Anolis sagrei: one gene and its partner. The protein of the gene in region 2 purifies or fractionates together with the protein of the main gene of each other region. This does not show direct contact. Links are inferred from orthologs where the notes say so. Each region holds a gene or a part of one and is shown on either strand. Other genes may lie near its edges.

Evidence for each region. Proteins that work in one complex are often made in the same cells at the same time.
Region 1: the proteins of COPE (region 2) and SACM1L purify together in Homo sapiens (affinity purification with mass spectrometry; 4 studies listed by BioGRID and IntAct, with this or other methods). This does not show direct contact. The link is inferred for Anolis sagrei from reciprocal best matches to the Homo sapiens genes COPE and SACM1L.

The regions. Positions count from the first base shown.
Region 1 is NC_090026.1:77,910,358-77,917,480, reverse strand, and holds the start of SACM1L (phosphatidylinositol-3-phosphatase SAC1), read left to right. Parts: upstream 1-4,104; 5' UTR 4,105-4,324; coding exon 4,325-4,371; intron 4,372-7,123.
Region 2 is NC_090034.1:52,171,491-52,179,188, reverse strand, and holds the start of COPE (coatomer subunit epsilon), read left to right. Parts: upstream 1-4,682; 5' UTR 4,683-4,727; coding exon 4,728-4,844; intron 4,845-4,996; coding exon 4,997-5,059; intron 5,060-7,698. Other genes in the region: probable ATP-dependent RNA helicase DDX49, read right to left, coding at 512-699, 1,146-1,267, 1,343-1,428, 1,706-1,829, 4,057-4,246. UniProt on the Homo sapiens protein: The coatomer is a cytosolic protein complex that binds to dilysine motifs and reversibly associates with Golgi non-clathrin-coated vesicles, which further mediate biosynthetic protein transport from the ER, via the Golgi up to the trans Golgi network.

The DNA of each region.
Region 1 (7,123 bases), on a different chromosome or scaffold from region 2:
CCCTAAACGGTTCCGGCCAAGCTACCTATCCGACCGCATCTCTGCCTATGAACCCACCAGGACTTTGAGATCTTCCGGGGAGACCCTGCTCTCGATCCCGCCTGCTTCTCAAGCTCAGCTGGCGGGGACGAGAGATAGGGCCTTCTCGGTGGTGGCTCCTCGGCTGTGGAACGCCCTTCCTACGGACATTAGACTAGCACCATCTCTAATGGTATTCTGCAAAAAAGTGAAGACCTGGCTGTTTGAGCAGGCGTTCGAATAATTAGTGCAATGATTGGTTAATGAACACTGGAATGGAAAAATGGATGACGAATCTGGAACATATTTTTGATGACGAGACGACAGTGAATGGGTCGTGTAATGTGTTAGGTTGTTAACTGTTTCTATACTGTAGCACTGAATTTTTGCTGTTCGTATTTGTTGTGAACCGCTGTGAGTCGCCTTCGGGCTGAGAACAGCGGTATATAAGTAAGGTAAATAAATAAATAAAATAAAAAGGACAAAAACTTTAAAAATGACAAATGCCTTCTTGGGCAAGAAGGCATTCATTCCAAAATGATTCACTATTATCCACAATTTTGCATATCCACAAAATGTCTGGGATTAGACTGTGTGGTGTCATGGTTTGAATGTTGGACTCAGACACTGTGAGATCAGGGTTTGGTCTTGGCTCTATCATGGTAACACAAGGAGGCCTCATCTACACTGCCACAGAATGTGGATTGAACTGGATTATATCAGTGTACCAGTGATTCTCAACCTGGGGGTTGGGACCCCAGGAGGGGTCACGAAGGGGGGTCAGAGGGGTCACCAAAGACCATCAGAAAACACAGTATTTTCTGTGTGGAATGTTTGGCCCAATTTTGATGGTGGGGTTCAGAATGCTCTTTGATTGTAGGTCAGCTATAAATCCCAGCAACTACAACTCCCAAATGACAAAATCACCCCCCCCCCCCAAACTCACCAGTATTCAAATTTGGGCATATAAGCTATTTGTGCCACATTTGGTCCAGTGAATGAAAATACATTCTGCATATCAGATATTTACACTGCGAGCCATAATGGTCGCATAATTACAGTTTTGAAGTAGCAACGAAAATAATGTTACGGATGGGGGTCACCACAACACGAGGAACTGTATTAAGTGGTCATGGCATTAGGAAGGTTGAGAAACACTGGTAGACTCATATATTCCAGTTCAATGAGGTTCAATCTGCATTATGAGACTACATTTACCATTATAATGCTGTTCAAATTGGATTATATGACTGTAGATAATTCAAAGCATGTAATGCCCATTATCTGCTTTGAACTGGATTATAACCGGGATTGTGGCGCAGCTAGCTGAGTGTCAGCTGCATTAAGATCACTCTGACCAAAAGGTCATGAGTTCGAAGCCAGCCCGGGTTGGAGTGGGTTTCCAACCAATTGTGTGTAGCCTGTTGTCAACCTTTGCAACCCGAAAAACAGTTGCATCTGTCAAGTAGGAAAATTAGGTACCACCTTAAAGTGTGGGGAGGCTAAATTAGCTAATTTACGAGGCCACAAAAAAGACTCCAGCAAAGCATTCCAGCAAAAAAGCATGCGGGGAATGCGGAAGTACTTCATCAGTGTCACAGATGGACGATGAAAGCGACAGCTCCCCTGGCAGCCAGAAAAAGTTAAATAGCCTCTGTCTATGTCTGTATATGTTTTATTTCTTTCTTTCTTTTGTGTACTTCTACCCCGCCCTTCTCAACCCCCGAGGGGGGACTCAGGGCGGCTTACAAAATAGTAATACAGATAAGATATAGACAGCAATTAAAAACAGTTATAACAGTTAAGAACAATCAATATATATCACAGTCAATAAAAACAATCTTATGCTCAACGTTCGCAACTCAGAGTCCATAGCTTCATTCCACATTTTCCATTCCTATCAATCGTCATTGTCCTTTATTTATCTGCCAGATTGCCCAAACGCCTGGTCCCAAATCCATGTTTTTAATTTCCTTCTAAAGGAGAGGAGGGATGACGATGATCTAATTTCCCCGGGGAGTGAATTCCATATGTAAGGGGCCACAACCGAGAAGGCCCTGCTCCTCGTCCCCGCCAATCTCACTTGTGATAAAGGCGGGGCTGAGAGCAGGGCCTCCCCGAAAGATCTTAAACTCCGAGGTGGGACGTAGAGGGAGATGCGTTTGGACAGATACGCTGGGCCGGAACCGTATAGGGCAGTGGTTCTCAACCTTCCAAATGCCGCAACCCCTTATTACAGTTCCTCATGTTGTGGTGACCCCCAACCATCAAATTATTTTGTTGCTACTTCATAATTGTAATTTTGCTACTGTTATGAATCGTAATGTAAATATCTGATCTGCAGGATGTATTTTCATTCACTGGACTAAACTTGGCACAAATACCCAATACGCCCAAATTTGACTACTGGCGGGGTTGGAGGGGTTGATTTTGTTATTTGGGAGTTGTAGTTGCGGGGATTTATAGTTCACCTACAATCAAAGTGCATTCTGGACCCCACCAAGTACAGAATTAGTCCAAATGTCTCACACAGAACTCCCATGACCAACAGAAAATACTGTTTTCTGATGGTCTTTGGCGACCCCTCTGACACCCCTTGTGACCCCCCTGGGGGTCCCGACCCCCAGGTTGAGAAACACTGGTATAGGGTTTTGTAGGTCAAAACCAGCACTTTGAATTGTGCTCAGAACTGGATCGGCAGCCAGTGGAGCTGACATAACGGGGTGGTATGCTCCCTGTATGACGCTCCGGTGAGTAATTTCGCTGCCTCCTGCTGGGCTAATTGAAGTTTCCGAACAGTCTTCAAAGGCAACCCCACGAAGAGTGTGTTGTAGTAATCTATCCGGGATGTAACAAGTGCGTGGACCACCGTGGCCAGATCCAACTTCTCAAGGTACGGGCGTAGCTGGCGCACAAGTTTTAATTGTGCAAAAGCTCTCCCGGCCACCGCTGAGACCTGGGGTTCCAGGTTCAGCGATTAGTCCAGGATCACTCCCAAGCTGCGAACCTGCGTCTTCAGGGGAGTGTAACCCCGTCTAACACAGGCTGTAACCCTATGCCCTGTTCGGCCTTACGACTGACTAGTAGGACCTCTGTCTTGTCTGGATTCAATTTCAATTTGTTAGCTCTCATCCATGTTGTAAGTCAAATTGGCATTGAATGTTTGCCATATATGTACACTGTAATCTGCCCTGAGTCCCCTGCGGGGTGAGAAGGGCGGGATATAAATGCTGTAAATAAATAAATAAATATTCCAGTTCAATGAGGTTCAATCTGCATTATGAGTCTACATTTACCATTATAATGCTGTTCAAATTGGATTATATGACTGTAGATAATTCAACGCATGTAAGGCCCATTATCTGCTTTGAACTGGATTATATATAATTGAAAATTCATATAATCCAGTTCAAAGCAGATAATGGGCATTATATCTACACTGACATATAATCCAGTTCAAAGCAGATAATCTGGATTTTATATGGCAGTGTAGAAGGATGTATTGTCGAAGTGTAGAAGGAGTTTAGGAGAAAAATCTGAGGGTTTGGATTTGAAATGTCAAATTCCTATATAACCAGCAAACTGCAAAGCTGTTTTTTATTTTCGGAGAAAAATGGTTATGACCATCCATTTTTCCAAACTGGAACTCCCAGAGAATCTACACTGATGCAACACGATTCATTAAATGAAAATATTAATTTTTCACAGAAGAAAAAAATTTAGCCGAGCCAGCCAGGAGTCGAACCTAGAATCTTCTGATCCGTAGTCAGACGCGTTATCCATTGCGCCACTGGCCCTGCCTGACGACCCCTTTTCCCCAATTGCATTCTACATTCCGCCTGCTACGTTTCTAGTGGCTGGAAACAAAACCAGGGGTGGAGTTCTGAGTGAGGCATTTCTTTTTGCCAAGCCGAGCCAATCAAAACGCTCCTTGCTCTTTCACTCCGTTCCTCGTTGGTGCAAAGAAGAGTTTTCCTTTTTTTGAAGGGGCGGAGTTACCCCAATCCATTCGGCGTCTGAGGGGATGGTTGCGGGAACTTGACGTCACAATAGCGAGACCCCGCCCACGCGCTGCTTCGCTTCCGGGATAGGGCGACATGGTTGCGAGCGTCCGTTTCAGCCAATCCCAAACGCCTTACTCAGCGCGGGCGTCGAAATGCTTTCCGCTTAGTTTTGTCCTGTGTGGGGCGCCGTCCTGAAGGCCCAAGTGGAGGCCGTCAGGTGAGGCGCGAGAAGGAAGGCGGAGTCTCTGAGGCCAAGCTCGAGCCGGTCGGTTGGAGGAGGGAGAGGCGGGGCGGCGGCGGAGATGGCGGCGGCAACCGCAGCGGGGCGAGCCTACGAGAACCTGAAGCTGTGAGTAGCCGAGAAAGGGCGCCAGGAATCCCACCCTTCCCTTCAGGAGGGCCCGGGCTCCCTTCTTCTCTCCCTCGGTTCCCACAAAGGACACCTGCTGTTCGCCTTTGGCCTCCTCTTCGCCCTCCTTGATCCCTCTCCTTCCTCCTTAAGGCTCCAAGGCTCCCCCACGTCACTTTTCCTGTCAAGTGTGTCCTTCCCCATCTGTCTCACTTAACCGAAGAGCTCCCACATTCCATTTGAGTGTGTATATATATATATATATATATATATATATAATAGTATGTTATTATTATTAATAATAATTAATAATCTATATAAATAAAAATGTAATGTTAGTTCGTGCTACCATCAGAACTCAAAAACCACTGGGGGAATTGACACCAAATTTGGACACAAGACACCTAACAGTCCAATGTATGTCCTCCACTCAAAAAAATTGATTTTGTCATTTGGGAATTGTCGTTGCTCGGATTTATAGTTTACCTACAATCAAAGAGCATTCTGAACTCCACCAATGATGGAGTTGGGCCAAACTTAGCACACAGGGCTCCCATGACCAACCGAAAAAACTGGAAGGGTTTGGTGGACATTGACCTTGAGTTTGGGAATTGTAGTTTACCCACATCCAGAGAGCACTGTGGACTCAAACAATGATGGATCTGAACCAAACTTGGCACGAATATTCCATATTTTATTTATTATTATTTATTTATTTCACAGTTTTCTATACCGAGCTTCTCAACCTCATTGAGGGACTCAGCCCGGTTTCCAGCCATAAAAAACATATACACTCATTAAAATATCATATATCACAATTACAAAAACAACTTTAAATACACTATATATAAAACTACAGTGGTCAGTTGTCCTATTAAGATGGATCTACATCAACTTCCATCCAGGGTCCTATGGTGTTGTCTCATTCATCGAAGGCCTGACTCCACAGCCACGTCTTCACCCGTTTCCTAAATGTTAGGATGGATGGGGCGGTTCTGGCCTCCAGAGGGAGAGAGTTCCAGAGTCGCGGGGCCAAATATGAACACAGATGGAGTTTAAGGGAAATAGACCTTGACATTTGGGAGTTGTAGTTGCTGGGATTTATAGTTCACTTACAATCAGAGAGCATTCTGAACTCCACCAGTGATGGAATTGAACCAAACATGGCGTACAGGACTTCCATGACCAACAGAACACACTGGAAGGGTTTGGTGCGCATTGACCTTGAGTTTGGGAGTTGTAGTTCACCTACATCCAGAGAGCACTGTGGACTCAAACAATGATGGATCTGGACCAAACTTGGCACTTGGGATTTGTAGTTGCTGGGATTTATAGTTCACCTACAATCAAAGAGCATTCTGAACTCCACCAATGATGGAATTCAACCAAACATGGCATACAGAACTTCCATGACCAACAGAACACACTGGAAGGATTTGGTGGACATTGACATTAAGTTCCAAAATTCCATATGCCTAAATATAAACACAGATGGAGTTTGGAGGAAATAGATCTTGACATTTGGGATTTGTAGTTACTGGGATTTATAGTTCACTACAATTAAAGAGCATTCTGAAATCCACAGAAATGGGGCAAACTTCCCACACAGAACTCCCATGACCAACAGAAAATATTTAAGGCATCCAGTCCAACTCCCTTCACCAGGGCAAGAAAATGTAATCAGAGCCCTCCTGACAAAGAACCATCCAGTCATAAATATAGATAGATCGATATGATTCTCTCTCTCACACACAGATATAGTATCATAGATTTTAAAGAGACCCTTAAAGAAGGACTATGATATGTTGCATATTCCAGAGTAGGCAAACCAGACACTCTCCACATCAACACTGACAAAGAAACAACAAGCATAAAGGAATTATATATATTAGAAACCAAAACTTTCTCATTACTTTATTTTCCAGATCACCAGACTGGGCCACAGCAACGCGTGGCAGGGGACAGCTAGTAATTAATATATATTAATATAATAATAATATAATTAATATAATATATTAACCCAAACCCCAGCCCCGTTCTCTCTCTTTCTTAATATTTGATCACCCATCTTGGTATTTTTGGCTCGAGAGGCACAACACGCTTAACATTCACCATTATACTTGAAAACATTCCTTTGCCATTATATTTAATACTAGCCGTCCCCTGCCACGCGTTGCTGTGGCCCAGTCTGGTGATCTGGAAAATAAAGTAATGAGAAAGTATTGGTTTCTAATATATGTAATTCCTTTATGCTTGTGAGTAAACAGTATTTCTTGTTGGAGTGACCATCACAGTCATGCAGTCATGCTGGCCACATGACCTTGGAGGTGTCTATGGACAATGCCAGCTCTTTGGCTTCGAAATGAAGATGAGCACCACTCCCCAGAGTTTGACACAACTAGACTTAATGTCAAGGGGAAACTTTTATTAAGTTCTCTTATTTGGCAATATTCCTTGAAGATGTTGTTCCAAAGTTGTAAATGAATGATAGATTGTAATGGAAGCCTAGGATTTTACAATACTTTATAGTATTTTATCACTCAATGGGAATTTTTTGACATTTTAAATTTAATTTAATTTAATGGTAATTTTAATGTCCTACAAGGAAGTATTTATGTAACCAATTTGGGTTATCTTATCTATGTTTTTATTTTATATTCTGTTTTAATGATGTTGTAAGCCGCTTTGAGTCCATTGGAGAAAAGTGGCATAGAAATTCCCTAAATAATAATAACAAGAACAACAACAACAA
Region 2 (7,698 bases):
GAAAATTTATATATTTATATATATATATAAAATTTTATATATATAATTTTATATATATTATTATATATATTTTAACAGGGTGGATATACATGGAGTAAAAGATGGGATAGCTAAGTATTTGTGTATGTATTTGTGTATGTATGTATATATAGAGAGAGAGAGAGAAAGAGAGAGAGAGAGAGAGAGAGGATATTATATGAATCTTTTCACTCTGTTGCAGGGATGTGGCTCATCCAGCCTTCAAAGAATTATGACTAATCTTCAAGAGAAATGGCTTGGCTGTGATGCCGCCTATAATCAGCTTCCCCTCCAAAGTGCCTATTTAAAAACCCATTTATCTCCTAATCTCCCTCTGCAAATTGATTCTGTGCATTCAATTAGGAAATGACATGAATAGTTTTCATGAATAGTTTGGGAAAAGGACAGCAACTCCCATGATGCCCAAAGCAACCCCCCCGATAATGGGAGGTGAAGTCACATATTTTAAGGGGAGAAAGGAGAGGGGACTCACTCGGAGCTGGACTCCCAGAAGAAGGGCTGGTTCATGGCGATGCGCTGCAGTTGGCTCAGGGTCTCGGTCAGTGTGGCGCTGAAGAGCATGGTTTGTCGCCCAGACGGAAGCGCTGCCAGGATGGTCTCCAGGTCTTGGGTGAAGTCAGTGCAGCCCTGTTCCAGCAAACGGTCTGCTTCATCCAGGACCTAAATCCCAATGAGGAAAAAAAGAAGGGATCCTAGAGCGGGATGACCCCAAAAGGTCATCCAGTCCAACCTCTTTCTGTCAGGTAAGAAGGCTCCATCTAAGGCTTCCTAAAAGATGGCCATACCGACTGAATGATAGACTCATAGAGTGGGAAGGGGTCCCCGAAGACCATCCAGTCCAACCCCTTTCTGTCATAGACACCATCCAAGCCCTCCCGACAGATGGCCACCCAGACTCTGCTCAATAATAATAATAATAATAATAATAATAATAATAAAATCCTAAAGTTGGAAGGGATCCCACAAAGGCCATCCAGTCCAACTCGTCTGTCATAAAGGGGGACACCATCAAAGCCCTCCCAACAGAGGGCCATGTAGACTCTGTTTATAGAATCCTAGAGTAGGATGGGACCCCCCAAGGCCAACCAGTTCAACCCCCGCCTTACCAAGACCTTGATCCGTTGAAGGCTGCAGGGGTTGGAGCTGCGGAGGTGGTCGGCCAGGCGCCCTGGGGTGGCGACGACCACGTGGGGCTTGCGGGAGAGTGCCAACGCCTGGGACACCATGTCTGCAAGGAGAGGGAGGGATCACGTCATGTATTCGTGGTGCACTCTCTCAGCTTTTCGGCCCCATATATACGTACCCATGCCGCCCACAACGATGCAGTCCTTCAGGCCCAGTGGCTTCCCTAGGACTCGGAACTGTTCAGCGATCTGGTAGGCCAGCTCCCTATTGGAAACAATAAATCGAGAAGGGAATATACATAATATATCAACACAGTCCATTCTACCACCTAGGAAGACACCATCAAAATCCTCCTGACAGATGGCCATCCAGACTCTGTTCAATAATAACAGCAACAATAATAATATAATCCTCGAGTTAGAAAAGACCTTTTAAAGGGCCATCCAGTCCAACCCCATTCTGCCGTAAAGGAAGACACCATCAAAGCCCTCCTGATAGATGACCACTCAGCACCTGCTTAGTACTAATACTAATAATAGACCTTGTGGGCGTCAGGACGAGGCAGAAGATGCCGTAGGGGTCCTCTGAGAGCCTCTGCAGGACCGGAAGCACAAAGGCAGCCGTCTTCCCACTCCCGGTCTTGGCACAGCCCATGCAGTCACGGCCTGGAAAGAAAGCAAGAACTCTGAACATGTTCTGAGGCAAGATCAGCTCAAAGGAAACCCCCCACCGCTTTGCTAAGGGGTGATTAGGCAAGCCCCAACCTTAGCAGCCTTCAAGAAGGATCTCAAAACTTGGCTTTTCTGTTGCACCTTTGGAGAGTGATCAGATATTTCCTTTTGTTGCTCCTCTCACAATGTTTGTCCTCATATTGCACTCCCCCCCTCCTGTTTGAAAGCCTGTCTCCACTACTCCGTCTCCTATGAGCTTCTCCCATACCAATATTTCTTTTACATCTCTATCTCATCTTGAATTTTATCATTTTATCTCGCACATGTGGGCCGCCCATTGGGATTGACTCTGCATTGTATTATTTTGTATTGTTTTATTGTATTCTTATGTTTTTATTTATTTAATTGTGATGTTTGTTTTGTTGCTCTGGTTTTATTTTGTACTGTTGGGCTTGGCGTCATGTAAGCCACCCCGAGTTTCCTTTGGGGAGATGGTGGAGAGGTATAAATAAAGATTATTATTATTATTATTATTATTCCACTGATTAGATTTAAATGTAGAACAGGGTTCATGGAGAACTAAGTGGAGAAAACACTCTGCCCATGCTCAGGAATCCCTCCCCCAGGCTATTTAGTGGGGAGGGTGATTTAGAGTGGGCATGGTTTTCTGTGAGGGCGTGGCTTGAAGAGCCCCCCCACTGGGGATCAAAGGGAAACTGAGTGGGCGGGGCTTCACGAAGGGCGTGGTTTGGCTGAGAAGGCTTTCTGTGGGGCCGTGGCTTGAACGCCTAATTGCCAAGGGAAACCTGGAGGCGTAGCTTAATGGTTTTTTTTGGTTGTTTTTTTTAAACAGAAGAACGGCCTGCCTCAGGGGAGCGTGCTTGTTCCATCCATGTTCAACATCTACACAAATGACCAGCCACTGCCAGGAGGGACAGAGAGTTTCATCTATGCTGATGATCGTGCCATCACCGCTCAAGCAGGGAGCTTTGAGATGGTTGAAAAGAAGCTATCCGAAGCTCTAGGTGCTCTTACTGCCTATCACAGGGAAAACCAACTGATCCCTAATCCATCTAAAACACAGACATGCGCCTTTCACCTTAAGAACAGACAAGCATCCCGAGCTCTGAAGATCACCTGGGAAAGGAATCCCACTGGAGCATTGCAGTGCACCCAAATACCTGGGAGTCACTCTGGACCGTGCCCTGACCTACAAGAAGCACTGCCTGAACATCAAGCAAAAAGTGGGCGCTAGAAACAATATCATACGAAAGCTGACTGGCACAACCTGGGGATCACAACCAGACACAGTGAAGACCTTGCGCTATGCTACACTGCTGCTGAGTACGCATGCCCAGTGTGGAACACATCTCACCACACTAAAACAGTGGATGTGGCTCGTAATGAGACATGCCGCATTATTACGGGGTGTCTGCGCCCTACACTACTGGAAAAATTACACTGCTTAGCCGGTATTGCACCACCTGACATCTGCCGGGAAGTAGCAGCCAATAGTGAAAGGACCAAGGCAGAGACATCTCCAGCTCATCCCCTGTTTGGGTATCAGCCAGCACGCCAACGACTTAAATCAAGACATAGTTTTCTTAGATCTACAGAGACACTCGCTGGAACACCTCAGCAAGCGAGAGTCCAAAAGTGGCAGGCTCAAACCCAGCACCTCAATCCATGGGTGATACCAGATGAGAGACTCCCCCCTGGGCACACAGAAGACTGGGCAACTTGGAAGGCGCTGAACAAACTGCGCTCTGGCACCACGAGATGCAGAGCCAATCTTAAGAAATGGGGCTACAAAGTGGAATCCACGACATGCGAGTCGAGAAGAGCAAACCACTGACCACCTGCTGCAATGCAACCTACATGCACGATGGAGGACCTTCTTGCGGCAACACCAGAGGCACTCCAAGTGGCCACATACTGGTCAAAGGACATTTAATCAGCTACCAAGTTTGCAAAATCTGTGTTTTTTGTTTTTTTTAAATCTGTGTGTTTGTTTTGTTCTGTTAGAAATGTAATACAATGGTCTGGTTGCTGATGACACGATAAATAAATAGCTTAATGTGTGGGCGTGGCTCGGAGGCTCTTCCAATGAGGGTTAGAGGCAACCGAAGGGGCGTGGCTTGAAGAGCCTCCCAGCAGGACGAAAGGGGGCGTGGCTTGAGGCGTCTGAGGGCGTGGCCTGGTCGAGCGCGCGAGGTCTTACCTTGGAGCGCGGGTGGGATGCAGGCCTCTTGGACGGGAGTAGGCCGCTTGAGGCCCAGTTGCTCCGCTTGCGCCGCCAGCCAAGGCGACAGGCCCAAGGCACGAAAGCCGGCTGCCGCCATCACACTCCGGAGGAAAGAGGAAAAAGGAAGCAATCCCAGAGTGCCACGCGGTGGTGCGCTCTGCGTCATGACGTCACGAACCTGAGTCGGGCTGTATAGGTTGTCATGGCAACGCTGTAGCTTGTGTCCCAGAATGTTCAGCGCGAAGCTTCAGAGCGTCGAACAAATTAGAAATCACAATAACACGAATATTATCATATTTAGTTGTTACCCAATACGAATTGATAGAAATTATAAGAAAAAATTAAAATACTATTATAATTTATAATTATAATATAAAATAATAGAATATATATATATATATATACTTATGATTTCTATTTATTTTTTTCTTCTCTTGATCGCAATCTCACTCCCAGTCTTGTCACTCTAAACTTTTCCTTTCTCTATGTTCACACTCTCTAGCGTCAGCCCTTTTCCTTGCCTTGATTGGTCAAACGGGAGAAGGGGCGGGGCACAGCGAGTGAATGACAGCGCGACGGCCAATCGCCGGCGAGGGAAGTCGGAAGTGGAGACGTGTCAAACCTTCTGAAGGGAAAGCCGGGCCAAGATGGCGACGACGGGGGCAAGCGGCGCTGCGGGCGAAGCCGACGAGCTCTTCGACGTCCGGAACAACTTCTACATCGGGGCCTCGCAGGCCGCCATTAATGAGGCGCAGCGCGTGAAGGTGAGGCGTCTTTTCTGCGAGGAGGAGCGGTTCCAAAAGCGACGAGGCCTCACTGAGCGGATTGGGGCCTGCAATGAATTCTGTCCCTCGGCCGCCTTTTTCGAAATGTATTCACTAGAGTGATAATATGTCTCCCTTTCTTCTCTCCTCAGGCATCCAGCCCTGAGAAAGAAATCGAGAGAGACGTTTTCCTGTTCCGCGCCTATATTGCTCAGGTGAGGTCGAGATATTATATTGTTAGGTTCTTGTGGGTTTTTTCGGGCTATAGGGCCATGTTCTAGAGGCATTTCTCCTGACGTTTCGCCTGCATCTATGGCAAACATCCTCAGAGGTAGTGAGGTCTGTTGGAATTAGGAAAATGGGTTTATATATCTGTGGAATGGCTGGGGTGGGGCAAAGAGCTCTTCTCTGCTGGAGCTAGGTGTGAATGTTTCAACTGACCACCTTCATTAGCATTTGAAGGCCTGCCTGAGCCTGGGAAAATCTTTTGTTGAGAGATGCTTGGATGTCCCTGATTGTTTTCCCTCTGCTGTTTTGCTGTTTTAATTTTAGAGTTTTTTAATACTGGTAGCCAGATTTTGTTCATTTTCATGGTTTCCTCCTTTCTGTTGAAATTGTCCACATGCTTGTGGATTTCAGTGGCTTCTCTGTGTAGCCTGACATGGTGGTTGTTAGAGTGGTCCAGCATTTCTGTGTTCTCAAATAATATGCTGTATCCAGGCTGGTTCATCAGGTGCTCTGCTATGGCTGACTTCTCTGGTTGAAGTAGTCTGCAGTGCCTTTCATGTTCCTTGATGCGTGTCTGGGCGCTGCGTTTGGTGGTCCCTATGTAGACTTGTCCACAGCTGCGTGGTATACGGTAGACTCCTGCAGAGGTGAGAGGATCCCTCTTGTCCTTTGCTGAACGTAGCATTTGTTGGATTTTCTTGGTGGGTCTGTAAGTGGTTTGTATGTTGTGTTTCCTCATCAGCTTCCCTATGCGGTCAGTGGTTCCCTTGATGTATGGCAGGAACACTTTTCCTCTGGGTGGATCTTCATCTTTACTCTCGTGGCTCATTCTTGGTCTTGCAGCTCTTCTGATGTCTGAGGTGGAATATCCATTGGCCTGGAGAGCCCAGTTGAGGTGGTTCAGTTCATCTTGGAGGAGGTGGGGTTCACAGATTCTTTTTGCACGGTCTGCCAAGGCTTTAATTGTGCTTCTTTTTTGACTTGAGTGATGGTTGGAGTTTTTATGTAGATATCTATCTGTGTGTGGGGGTTTTCTGTAGACAGTGTGACCCAATTGTTGATCTGGTTTGCGGATAACTAGGACATCTAGAAAAGGCAGTCTTCCTTCATTTTCTTTTTCCATTGTGAATTGGATTTTTGGGTGGATGCTGTTAAGATGGTCCAGGAACCTGTTGAGTTCTTCTTCTCCATGGCTCCAAATGGTGAAGGTGTCATCCACATATCTGAACCATATAGTGGGTTTTTTGGTTATTATATTATTATATTGTTATTTTTGTATTTATATTATTGTAAAACATATTATGCAGTAGTAATATTATTTATTTATTCATTTATTTATTTTTATCCCGCTGTTCGCGGGGTAAAAATAAATGAATGGTTAAAACAACAGAAATTACATGTCACAAAAAACACAACATCCTCACCCCAAATAAAACAGACACACAAATAACACATTCAGTTGTTGTGTATTTTCCGGGCTGTCCTGCTATGTTCCAGAAGCATTCTCTCCTGACGTTTTGCCTGCATCTATGGCAGGCATCCTTAGAGGTTGTGAGGTTTGTTGGAAACTAGAAAAATGGGGAATGTCCAGGGTGGGAGAAAGAACTCTTGTCTGTTTGAGGTAGGTGTGAATGTTACAAATGGCCACCTTGATTAGCATTTGATGGTCTAGTAGTTTTCAAAGTCTGGATTCTTACTGCCCAGGGGAATCCTTTGTTGGGAGGATTAGCTCAGGATTCCCCCAGGCAGACCTTATTTATTTATTTACTTATGGTGTTTATACCCCCCTCCTTTTCTCAGCCATATGGCAACTCAAGGCGGGTTACAGATAGGCACAGTTTGATGTCAGGCATTCATAAAAGTGTCATTTAAAACAATCAACATTACAATATAAAACATAAATAAAAACCGTTAAATCATTGGTGTCATCTTGTTAAAAACATCCAGTAACATCATCTGCCATTCCATGTTCATCATTCATAGTTCCATGTTATCTGTTCCGCTGCATTCTCAAAAGCTTGCTGAAAGAGCCAGGTCTTTACTTTTTTTTTCAGAGGGGGCCGATCTAATATCCCTGGGGAGAGAGTTCCATAGCCAGGGAGCCACCTCTGAGAAGGCCCTGTCCTTCGTCTCTGCTAATCGCACTTGTGAGGCAGGCGGGACCGAGAGCAGGGCCTCCCCAGATGATATTAAGCTCCTAGATGGTTCATAGGAGTAGATACGTTCGGACATGTAACCTGGGCCGGAATCATTTAGGGCTTTATAGGCTAAAGCCAGCACTTTGAATTGTGCTTGGTAGCAAATTGGCAGCCAGTGGAGCTGACGCAACAGAGATATAGTGTGTTCTCTGAGCACTGCTCCTGTTAGCTCCTATTAGTAACCTGTCTGCCGTTCTTTGGACCATTTGAAGCTTCCAAACAGTCTTCAAAGGCAACCCCACGTAGAGTGCTATGCAGTAATCTATTCGGGATGTAACAAGAGCGTGGACCACCGTGACCAAGTCAGACTTCCCAAGGTACGGGCGCAGCTGGCCTTGAAACTGCTAGGCCATTAAATGCTAATCAAGGTAGCCAGTGGCTACATTCATACCTACCTCAAACAGACAAGAATTCATTCTCCCACCCTG